Linked DNA regions of Anolis sagrei. The protein of the gene in region 2 interacts with the protein of the main gene of each other region in a pairwise test. Links are inferred from orthologs where the notes say so. Each region holds a gene or a part of one and is shown on either strand. Other genes may lie near its edges. The genes, in order: PPP1R18, TEX11 and MAPKBP1.

The links.
Region 1: the proteins of TEX11 (region 2) and PPP1R18 interact in binary tests that used the Homo sapiens proteins (3 or more experiments, as listed by UniProt). The two-hybrid records come from large-scale screens. The link is inferred for Anolis sagrei from reciprocal best matches to the Homo sapiens genes TEX11 and PPP1R18.
Region 3: the proteins of TEX11 (region 2) and MAPKBP1 interact in binary tests that used the Homo sapiens proteins (3 or more experiments, as listed by UniProt). The two-hybrid records come from large-scale screens. The link is inferred for Anolis sagrei from reciprocal best matches to the Homo sapiens genes TEX11 and MAPKBP1.

What each region holds. Positions count from the first base shown.
Region 1 is NC_090022.1:23,669,989-23,673,739, reverse strand, and holds the start of PPP1R18 (phostensin), read right to left. Parts: upstream 2,297-3,751; 5' UTR 2,185-2,296; intron 1,423-2,184; 5' UTR 1,369-1,422; exon of another isoform or gene 1,365-1,368; intron 1-1,364.
Region 2 is NC_090030.1:21,733,069-21,736,819, forward strand, and holds the start of TEX11 (testis-expressed protein 11), read right to left. Parts: upstream 2,779-3,751; coding exon 2,766-2,778; intron 708-2,765; coding exon 586-707; intron 1-585. UniProt on the Homo sapiens protein: Regulator of crossing-over during meiosis. Involved in initiation and/or maintenance of chromosome synapsis and formation of crossovers.
Region 3 is NC_090021.1:288,090,972-288,094,722, forward strand, and holds the start of MAPKBP1 (mitogen-activated protein kinase-binding protein 1), read right to left. Parts: upstream 2,491-3,751; 5' UTR 2,192-2,490; intron 1-2,191. UniProt on the Homo sapiens protein: Negative regulator of NOD2 function. It down-regulates NOD2-induced processes such as activation of NF-kappa-B signaling, IL8 secretion and antibacterial response. Involved in JNK signaling pathway.

The DNA.
Region 1 (3,751 bases), on a different chromosome or scaffold from region 2:
ATGCGCCCAGCCACTGAGTAGTGGTGATTAATATGTATTTATGAAAAATATAAACATGACACTACTATTTTAAAATAATAATAAATAATCTATATAAATAAACATGTAATGCTTGTTTGTGGGATTAATATAACTCAAAATCCACTTGATGAACTGACACCAAATTTGGACACAATGCACCTATCTGACCAACAAGTGAACATCACTCATAAAAACCCTGAAAAACACAGCAGAAGAAAAAAATACATTACAATGCAAGTGCAAAAACACATATATACACATATACACAAATATATATGCACATACATACACACAAAGACATATACACAGACTGGGCCACAGCAACGCGTGGCAGGGCATGGCTAGTTTATATAAATAAAAATGTAATGTTCGTTTGTGGGATTAACATAACTCAAGAACCACTGGGTGAATTGACACCAAATTTGGACACAATGCACCTATCTGTGAGTGACCATCACTCATAAAAACACTGGGAAACATATTGGAAGGGACTTAAAAAGCCAAAAAATAAAAAAAATACATTACAACGCATGCGCAAAACCACATACATATACGCAAACACACACATATGTACACAAATATATACACACAAAAACACATATACACAGACAAGGCCACAGCAATGCATGTCAGAGGGCGGCTAGTAAATAAATAAATAAAATGATATTTAACATAGTGTCCAGTATTATTAAATACCTTAAATAACATTGGGTTTCTGTGAGTTTTCTGGGCTGTATGGCCATGTTCCAGAAGCATTCTCTCCTGAGGTTTCATACACATCTATGCAAAGGCGGCCCTAGATAATTTTCAACAGTAAGCAAACAGTATTTTGCCCCCTCCGCCCCCACCAATCACTGATATATATTTACTGTTCGTCATGGGAGTTGTGTGTGCCATATTTGGTTCAATTCCATCATTGGTAGAGTTCAGAATGCTCTTTGATTGTAGGTGAACTATACATCCCAGTAACTACAACTCGCATATGTCAAGGTCTATTTTCCCCCAAGAGCGCCTCAAGAGCGCCCCTGGGCAAAATCAACTATACTGCAAATGCTTACTTTGCGTAATGGGTTGAGCCACCCCTGCATCTATGGCAGGCATCCTCTGAGGATGTGGGCAAAACGTCAGGAGAGAATGCTTCTGGAACATGGCCATACAGCCTGGAAAACTCACAGCAACCCAGTGATTCCAGCCCTGAAAGCCTTCGACAACACATTGAAATAACATTATCATGTCAGGCTGCTGCACTTTAAGACTGAAAAGGTAAACAAATCTTGCAAGGAGGGAGGAAGAGCATGGGAACCATAAGAAGGACATACATAAGGGGAGAAAAAAATACAAACCTACTGTAATAGGATCTCGATGTTTCCAAATTTCAAGCAATCCCAGGAGTTCAAACGCCTGCAAAAACCAACAGTGACAGGTGAGGATGCTAAATTGACTTTGGTACCCAGCGCTGCCTTTTGAAGTTCTTAACTGGGTCAAAAGCGAGGATTCCTGAGGAGGAAACAAAGGCAGCGGGGAAGATCAGCTCAAATCCCAGCAGAGATCGGATCCAGGCATCCGAGGGATGGAAGCAGCCAGATGAGCGGATTTTCACACAACAAGAACCCCTTATATCCAGAGAATTCCAAGAATTCAGGTGATGAGAGCGATTTGAATGCGATTTTCCTGCTTCTTGGCAGGGGGTTGGACTGGTTGGCCCACGAGGTCTCTTCCAACTCTCGGATTCTATGATTTTCTAATTCATTTTGGGAAAAATAAAAACAAGGAAGATATATTCCAGTAACGACCGAATCCCAGCATCTTGAGAAGGGATAAAAGATCAAAGATCCCTTTGATCAATGGATGAAAACAATATAGGACTAAGGATAAGCCATAGAAAGAGAGGGCAGAGGATCTCTATCCAAGACTCTCCTGCTCTTTCTTCCCCTCCTTGTGTCTCCTGATCCCTTTCCGTCTTGGCGCCTCACAATCAGAGGAACTGAACCGGTATCAGCATGGGTTGTCCACACACATAAGTAGGCCAACTCCGAAGAATGAGAACCCTTGGGAGATCTTGGAAGGAGATTTTGTTAAGGTTCTTAGCCCGCTTGGAAATCCCCATATAATCTCTCGGGGCCAACAAAACAAAACAAAACAAAACAAGGATTCCCTACTCACTATCAAACCAAGGTGGTCCAAGAGATGTGGGGCAGAAGGTGGGCTGGGTCCTCCGCTGGGTCCATCTCTGAGGAAGAAGTGCAGATGATCCCAGCTGGATGAGAAGTTCCTTTTCTTGACTGCCACTCTCTGTCCCTCAAAGCAAGAGAAAGAAGGGAGGAGATTCGGGTGGAGGATCTGAGTCAGGGCTGCCTTGCCAGAGGAAGGGTTTGGTTAGTCAGTCCCTTTCCGCCCCCTCCTCCTTCCTCTTTTCTTCCTTTCCTCCTCCTCCTCTTTCTTATCCTTCTCTTCCTTCCTCCCTCCTCTTCTTCTCCTCGTCCTGTCTTCCTCTTCTCCTGCTCTTATTCCCCTCCTTTCCTTTCTTCCTCCTCCTTTTTCTTATTCGTCTCCCTCTTCCTTTCTCCTCCTCTTTCTGTCTTCCTCTTCTCCTTATCTTACTCTCCTTCTCCTTCCTTTTCCCCCCCTTTCTTATTCTTCTCCTTCTTCCTCCCTCCCTCCTCTTTCTTATTCTTCTCTTCTTTCCTTCCTCCTATTCTCCTTCTCCTTTCTTCCTCTTTCTTATTCTTCTCCTTTCTACCTCCCCTCTTTCTTATTCTTCTCCTTCTTCCTCCCTCCTCCTCCTTTCTTTCCCTCTTTCTTATTCTTCTCCTTTCTTCCTCCTATTCTCCTCTTTTCTTCCTCCCCCTCTTTTTCTTCTTCTTCTTCCCTCCTATTCTCCTTCTTTTTCCCCTTTTTCTTCTCTTTCTTCCCTCCTCTTCTCCTCTTCTTTCTGTCTTCCTCTTCTCCTTCTCTTATTCTCCTCCTCCTCTTTCTTATTCCTCTCCTCCTTCCTTCCTCTTATTCTCCTCCTCTTTCTGTCTTCCTCTTCTGCTCTCCTCCTTCTCTTTCTTCCTTATTCCTCTCCTCCTTCCTTCCTCCTCCTCTCCTCCTCCCTTTCTTCTTCCTCTCTTCCTTCCTTCCTCCTATTTTCCTCCTCTTTCTGTCTTCTTCTCTTGCTTTCCTCCTCCTCCTTTCTTCCTCTTCCTCTCCTCCTCCTCCTTTCCGATTTCTCTTCTCTTTCTTTCCTCTCTCCACCTCCTTCCTTTTGCTGCTTCCCAAGAAGTTTTTTCTCCTCCTTTCAGAGAGAACGAGGAACATAGAGAGAGAGAGAAGGCGAAAAATAATGATTCTCTCTCTCTCTCTCTCTCAATCCCTTTGCACACCCGCTTTTTTAAATCCTCTGCCGAGCTCCACCTCCCAGCCCCATGGCTCAAATCCTATTTTAACCCAGGATGGAAAAACTGGGAGGGGAAAAAGGGAGGAAAGGGAGGCAAAAGAAAGAGAGGGAGAAAAAGGGGGAAGAGAGAGAAGAGAGGAAAGATTGGGAAGAAGGAGAAAGAAGAGAAAGAAAGAAAGAGCGGAGGAAGGGGAGGGGGAGGAGGAGGAGACCGGGGCAGGCGGGGGTCTTTGTGTATAAACAGGAGAGGGGAGGACAATGAAAAGGGGGCGGGGCTTGGCGGGCAGCAGGCAGCGGCGCGGAGGGGGGTGGCCGAGTGGGCGGATCGGCAGGAGAGGGGAGGGGGAGAGA
Region 2 (3,751 bases):
CATTTGTCTCAATATTAAAATACACTGTTTAAAACCGTCTTGATCATCTGTGTCTAATCTAATTGGCCTGGTAAGGTTTCCTGTCCCTGCTTTATTGCACTGTCCTGAAAACTGGGTCCACAACCAATTTTTACTATCCTTCTGAAGGACAGGAAGGAGGTGGGCGAGCTGATCTCACCAGAAAAACCTCATTATTCAGTTGCTTTTCAGAACCAGTTTTATTTTTCTGAAAGGTTTTAAAGCATATTGAAAGGAAAGTATGGCATTCAATATTTCACCAAATAACCAAGAGAAAAAGCCATTTCCCTCATTCTGTGTGGTTAGAATCTACACAGCAAGGGTGTGTCTATACCATGTCACAAATACTTTTTTAAAAACTTTAAGAAGCATTCAAAAGGTTATTTCCTTTCATTCACAATGAGACAGAGTATACTACAAAGAAAGAAGGTAGACACATGCAGATTCTATAGCTAACTTGGTACAAAAAGGGAAATTACATTTCCTCAGTATTCAAACACATATAAACATTCATTCATCGCCATGCTCACATTCAGAGATCTTTACCAATGTTTGTACTATTTGTACCTGGGCCTTCTCCCTCTCATTTATACTTTTTTTATTCACTTGTTCTATATCCCTGAACAGCTTCTCAGTGTCTTCTTGTACATCAGATGAGGCTTTGCTGCTCATCAGTTTTTCAATGAGCTCTGCAATTAAAAGCAACAACAAAAGCCAAAGTAAGTTATACAGTAGCTTTCAAGGCAATGTATCATTTTCAAACAAACCAGCCTGTTTACATTTTCTAACTTTCAAAACAAACAGGAAACAAACAAGAAACCAAGCACATTGGAGGAAACAACAAAAGAAACCTTTAAAAGGAAACACGTTGCATGAAGACTTGGACATTCTAGGGTTAAGTACCGTACCTAGAAAATCTGAAAAATTTAAGGTATCCCAACTTTTCATCATTTAATATTAAAACATATTAATGATCAATGCTATACTATGAGCCTTTTAAAAAAATTGTAGAACATGGCTTTGAGCAATGGTTCACAACAATTTTTGTGGCCCTGTCCCTCCTAAGCCTCTCTAAAACCCTGATACCCTCCTTTTGACATATAATTATTATTATTCCAAAAGCAAGCTCCTATTTATTCAGATGGAGGAACACTCAAAGGCCATGAATATATTGGTCTAAACAAGCTTCCAAAGGACATGAACACAATGCAAGAGGAAACCAAAAGGACAAAAAGATAGCTGAAGTACTAAGGAAGAAATTGTTAAAATAATAACAATATAAATAATATCAATAGTGATAACGACAATAGTATTCACACGAAGAAGAAGATAAAGACAAGGAGGAAGAGGAAGAACAAATCTTGGGGAATTTGCCATTTATCAATGAGGGAATAATGACATTTTCATGTGGATCCTATGCTTTATAAGTGAGGAGGAGGAGGAGGAGGAGGAGGAGGAGGAGGAGGAGGAGGAGAAGGAGAAGGAGAAGGAGAAGGAGAAGAAGAGGAAGAAGAAGAAGAGGAAGAAGAAGAAGAAGAAGAAGAAGAAGAAGAAGAAGACGACGACAATGGCGACAACGACTCTGGCACAAGCCAGTAAAGGTGATCCCAGTGGTGATTGGCACACTGGGTGCAGTGCCTAAAGACCTTGGCCTGCATTTAAAAACAATTGGCACTGACAAAATTACCATCTGTCAGCTGCAAAAGGTCACCCTACTCGGATCTGCGCGCATTATTTGGCAATACATCACACAGTCTTAGACACTTGGGAAGTGTTGTACATGTGATCAAATACAAAAGCCAGCATAGTGATCTCGTTTGCTGTGTACCATTCTTGTTATGCATCTAATAATAATAATAATAATAATTTATTTCTTACCCGCTTCTCCTTGTGGTTCGATGTAATAACAAACCCTATAAAACTTAGAACTCTACATACAAATTAAGTGTTTTAATATGTGTATTTTATAGAATGATTAAGATGTTTATATGTTTTTAGCTATGTTGTAATGCACCTCGAGCCATGAAGAAAGGCGAATAATAATAATAATAATAATAATAATAGTATTAAATAAACTTTGATCACAACTTTGTGATAATTAATGCTACCATTCTCCAACTTTACTCAAAATTATGTTCCCGGAGCTTTTTCCATCTTTTTTGTGACACGTTTGGTTTTCTTTTGTCATAAAGAGACACAGACAGTGAATCTGGGTCCAAAGCTTCAGCTTCTGAGCTTTCTGACATGACGGTTGTTGTCATTTGTTGATGGTGAATGATACGTCATGTTCTTCCTATCATCATTCTCTATTCAAATATAACACAGATGTTTTAAGGAGCCAGCAAGAGATCAGGAAGAATAAGTGGGAATGGAAAATGTGAGATTTTTAGACTCGAACCTGATGAAGAATGAGGGTTTTTTTTGTTCCTGAAACACTTTGTGCTGGATAAAAGTTACCACAAGTCATGAACTACAATACTACAATGAGTGTGCGACAACTGCATCAAATTCAGTGTAACCGAAGTGTTCTGTTTCCTTGCAAAGTGCATTCGGTGAGAAGAGATAATAATATATCCTGTCACCCAATATTCATTTTTTTGCGGCTGATCCTCTTTGCTTTCTTTGTTTCATACAAAAATAGACTCTCTAATTAAAGTAATAATTATACTTTGGAGTTTCCCGACCCCCCTCTCACAGATTTCTTGCCACATTCATATGCAGAACAGAAAGTATTTGATATTTTGCACCTTTGATTTCCATGATCTGTTTTCCTCTTCAGGATTCGATTCGCAAAAGGAACACCTTTGAAATGAAAAAGAAATAACATTAGCATGTTTATCCACTTGTTTTGCCTACTGTTCTTGATTGTACCCTTTGCCATTTCATATCTGTATTTTAACGACCTTATGTTTTTTATTTTAACTATGTAACTTTGGCTCATGAGAAGAGGCCAGTAACAAAGCAAATATATTATCATTATTATTATTATTATTATTATTATTATTATTATTATTATTATCTTTCCAAAGACATCTCTAAAGTAATTTTAATTAATTTGTTTTTCTCTGTTAATGTTGAATTAGGCAGCTGTTTTGGCAAGACTCATAAAAGGGTTGAAGGCAGAAGATAAATATTTCAACAACATAGGTTTCTTCACATATGAAGCTCCATAGATATAGATATAATAATACAGTAATAATGATGATGATTATTATCATCATAATCATCATCTCTCTACTAGATACAATAATAATAATAATGAATTTATTGCTGCCTTTACCTACTTGATATAGATATAATGACGACGACGACGACGATGAATTTGTTACCCGCCTCTCCCTACTAGATATAGATAAAATAATAATAAGAAGAATGCATTTATTACCCACCTCTTCCTTCTAGATATATAGCTATAACAACAATAATAATGAATTTATTCCCTGCCTCTCCCTGCTAGATATATAAATATAATAATATTAATAATAGTATTAATAAAAAAGCTACCTGCCTCTTCCTAATAGGTACAGATATAATAATAATAATGCATTTGTTACCTACCTCTCCCTGCTAGATATAGATAATATAATTATAATAACAATAATAAATTTATTAACTGTCTCTTCCTGCTAGTTATAGATCTAGATATAATAATAATAAATTTGTTACCTGCCTCTCTCTGTTAGATATATAGATATTATAATTGTGACTTTATTGCTTGCCTCTTCCTGCTATA
Region 3 (3,751 bases), on a different chromosome or scaffold from region 2:
GACACCAGTCAAGGGAGAGTCTACCCTATTAGCTGTAGTACAGCAAACTACAAATCCCAGAATTCTACTGCGCGAGCCATGGCAGTTAAAAGTCATGTCAAACTGTTATAATTCTGCATTGTGGTCTGAAGTAACAATGCATGCACACCTTGCTGCAGTCTTTAAACTGGCAATAACAGAAAACAGAAGCCAGCCCTACAATCAAAGTCTGGCAGCCAGATGAAGACAGCAGCATTTTCATGCAGGTTTTCTATTTCAACCTTCAGCGTATATACACTTTTTTGCACACACACACACACACACCCCGCCTACCCTTATCCCTTCTTGATGGAGGGGAAAATCACCAGGTGCCAAGAGAAGCAGAAGCCTCAGGCCTCAAACCCTCTTATTCTTTTGGTGACAAAGCTCAGTAAAGGTAGAAAAGCTCAGCAAATACTTTCCAAATTCCCTGGAAGACATTCACAGTGCCTTTGACTCCTCCTGCCCACAAAGGCAAGAATTGCAAGTCAGCAGCGCAGAGGGAGAATAAACCAACCTTAAGCATAAGGAGGAGAAAGCTGAAGAGTCTACCAGAAAACTATATATATGTGTTTGCCTTCTTTTTGTCCCTTTAAAATAGTGTGCGCACCTGTGTTTTAATTTAAAGGGACAGAAAGAATATATGTGTGTGTGTGTAGCGACAGAAGGGAGACATAGTGGGTATATTTATAAAAAGTAAAGGTTCCCCCTGACATTAAGTCTAATTGTGTCTGACTCTGGGGTGGTGCTCACCTCCATTTCTAAGTTGAAGAGCTGGCATTCTCCGTAGACACCTCCAAGGTCATGTGGCCGGCATGACTGCATGGAGCGCCGTTACCTTCCCGCCGGAGCGGTACCTATTGATCTACTCACATTTGCATGTTTTTGAACTGCTAGGTTGGCAGAAGCTGTGGCTAACAGCGTGAGTTCACCCCACTCTCCAGATTCGAACCACCAAACCTTTCAGTCAGCAAGTTCAGCAGCTCAGCAGTTTAGCCCGCTGTGCAGGGGGGGGGGGCGCTCCATGCAGTCATGCTGGCCACATGACCTTGGAGGTGTCTACGGACAATGCTGGCTCTTCGGCTTAGAAATGGAGATGAACACCACACCCCAGAGTCAGACATGACTGGACTTAATGTCAGGGGACTACCTTTACCTTTACCTTATATATATATATGGGACAGAAAAAGGCTATATATATAGATATAGATAGATATATATCTTAAAGGAACAGAATGAAGGCATTATAAACACACACATATATATGAAACTTAAAGGCACAGAAGTAAGGCACAGTGTATATGTGGATATACACTATATATATACATATATATATATATATATATATAGGGACAAAAGAACATACATATATGTTAGATTGACATCTAAAGAAACAGAATGAAGACATATACAGGGACAAAAAAAGGCATATTATACATATATATACACATATATACATAATGTGTGTGTGTGTATATATATAGAGAGAGAGAGAGAGAATAGGGCTCCACAGTCACCTACGAACCCACCGCCAGGACACCGAAGTTGGAGGACCATCATCCTCGGACTACGAGGGATCGCCTAAGTAAGTAAGTAATATATAGATACACAATCATATATATATATATAATGTGTATGTGTGTGTGCGTGTGTATATATATGTAATGTGTATATGATGCCTTGTTCCTGTCCCTGTATATGTGTTTGTGTATTTAAACGGACAGAAGGGCTATCTATCTATCTATCTATATATATATATATATATATATATGGGTACAGAAACAAGGCATTATATATACACACACACATATACACTATGCCTTATTTCTGTCCCTACTCACACACACACACACACACACATATATATAATTTAGAGCGTCAGAAGGAAGGCACATTTTCTTATTTTTATCTATAGATTTCGATTTAAATCAGGCATGGGCCAACTTGGGCCCTCCTTCCAGGTGTTTTGGACTTGAACTCCCACCATTCCTAACAGCCTCAGGCCCCTTCCTTTTCCCCCTCAGCCGCTTAAGCGGCTGAGGGGGAAAAGGAAAGGGCCTGAGGCTGTTAGGAATGGTGGGAGTTCAAGTCCAAAACACCTGGAAAGAGGGCCCAAGTTGGCCCATGCCTGATTTAAAGAGACAGGCAGGAATGAATCCCAAACCTTTGTTACCTGGGCGAAGAGGCAGCCTGGCTTTAAGGGCGGGAGAGGGACGACGGGAGAGAGGCTTTCCCCTCCTGGATGTCCATCCCTGCAGCCCGGCCTTCCTCCTCTGGAAAGGCTTCCCAATCCAATCGTAGAGAGCTGCTTCGGGGAGCGATAGGGAGAGGAGGCGGTGCGGGGAGAGAGAGAGAGAGAAGCCTTCAAACCACTCGGAGAAGCAGTCTGTCAGGGATTTCAAAAATGCAGAGGGAGGGAGGAAGCGGTGGCGCAACGCGGGTCCATTCCAGCCCTTCCTCCGCCTCCTTTCCTTCCTTGCAGGCTCGGGGCTCCCTTCTTCCCTCCCGCTCCGTGCTTCCCCTCCCGTCGTCTCTCGGCGTCTGGCTGCGGGATTCACCCTGACAGCTCCCAGCCAGCCAGAGTCCGACGCGGCTACGGTGGCCCACGCGGACCAAATCGCTAAACCGAGGGAGGAGGAGAGCGCTGCGAAGGGAGGGAGGGGGAAGAGCGGCAAATCTGCCAAGAGGAAAAATCTGCATCGAGAGAAAGGGTGGGCGCTTCAAGGTCCACCCCCCTGGAAGGAAGAATGCGGTTGTTTTTTTTTCTGGAGAAAGAAAAGCTCAGCACCATCACACGCTCAACACACCCCCTCCGATTGCCTCCTCTACACTGTAGAATTAACGCAGTTTGACACCGCTTGAAGTGCCACGGCTCATTCCTATAGAATCCTTGGAGTTGTAGCATGGATCTTTGTCTTTACTCTCCTGGTTTGTTCTTGGAAGGTAAAGACAAAGATCCGAATCCGGGGAGTGGGGTGAGCTCACGCTGTTAGCCCCAGCTTCTGCCAACCTAGCAGTTCGAAATCCTTGGAGTTGTAGCATGGATCTTTGTCTTTACTCTCCTGGCTTCTTCTTGGAAGGTAAAGACAAAATCCGAATCCGGAGAGTGGGGTGAGCTCACGCTGTTAGCCCCAGCTTCTGCCAACCTAGCAGTTCGAAAAAACACGCAAATGTGAGTAGATCAATAGGCACCACTCTGCCGGGAAGGTAACGGCGCTCCATGCAGTCATGCTGGCCACATGACCTTGGAGGTGTCTATGGGCAACGCCCGCAATTCGGCTTAGAAATGGAGGGGGGCACCAAACCCCAGAGTCAGACACTGGAATTAATGTCAGGGGAAAACCTTTACCTTACCTTGGAGTTGTAGCTTGGATCTTTGTCTTTACTCTCCATGCCAGCCACATGACCTTGGAGGTGCCTATGGACAAAGACGGCTCTTCGGCACCAACCCCCAGAGTCGGACACAACTAGACTTAATGTCAGTGGAAAACCTTTACCTTTACCTAAAGACAAAGATCCACCCAGAGGAAAAGTTTTCTTACCATGCATCGGGGAACCACTCAGGCATGTAGCGGGGGGGGGGGGGGGGCGCTCAGGGAACTTCAGCCCCCCCCCCCCCCCCCCCCCCCGAAATTCTCATGGTGGTTCGCAAAAAGGCCTTACTGGTGCATTACTTAAACTGTTATGTTTATTCATATCATTATCTCATCACCATACTCAATATATCCCATAT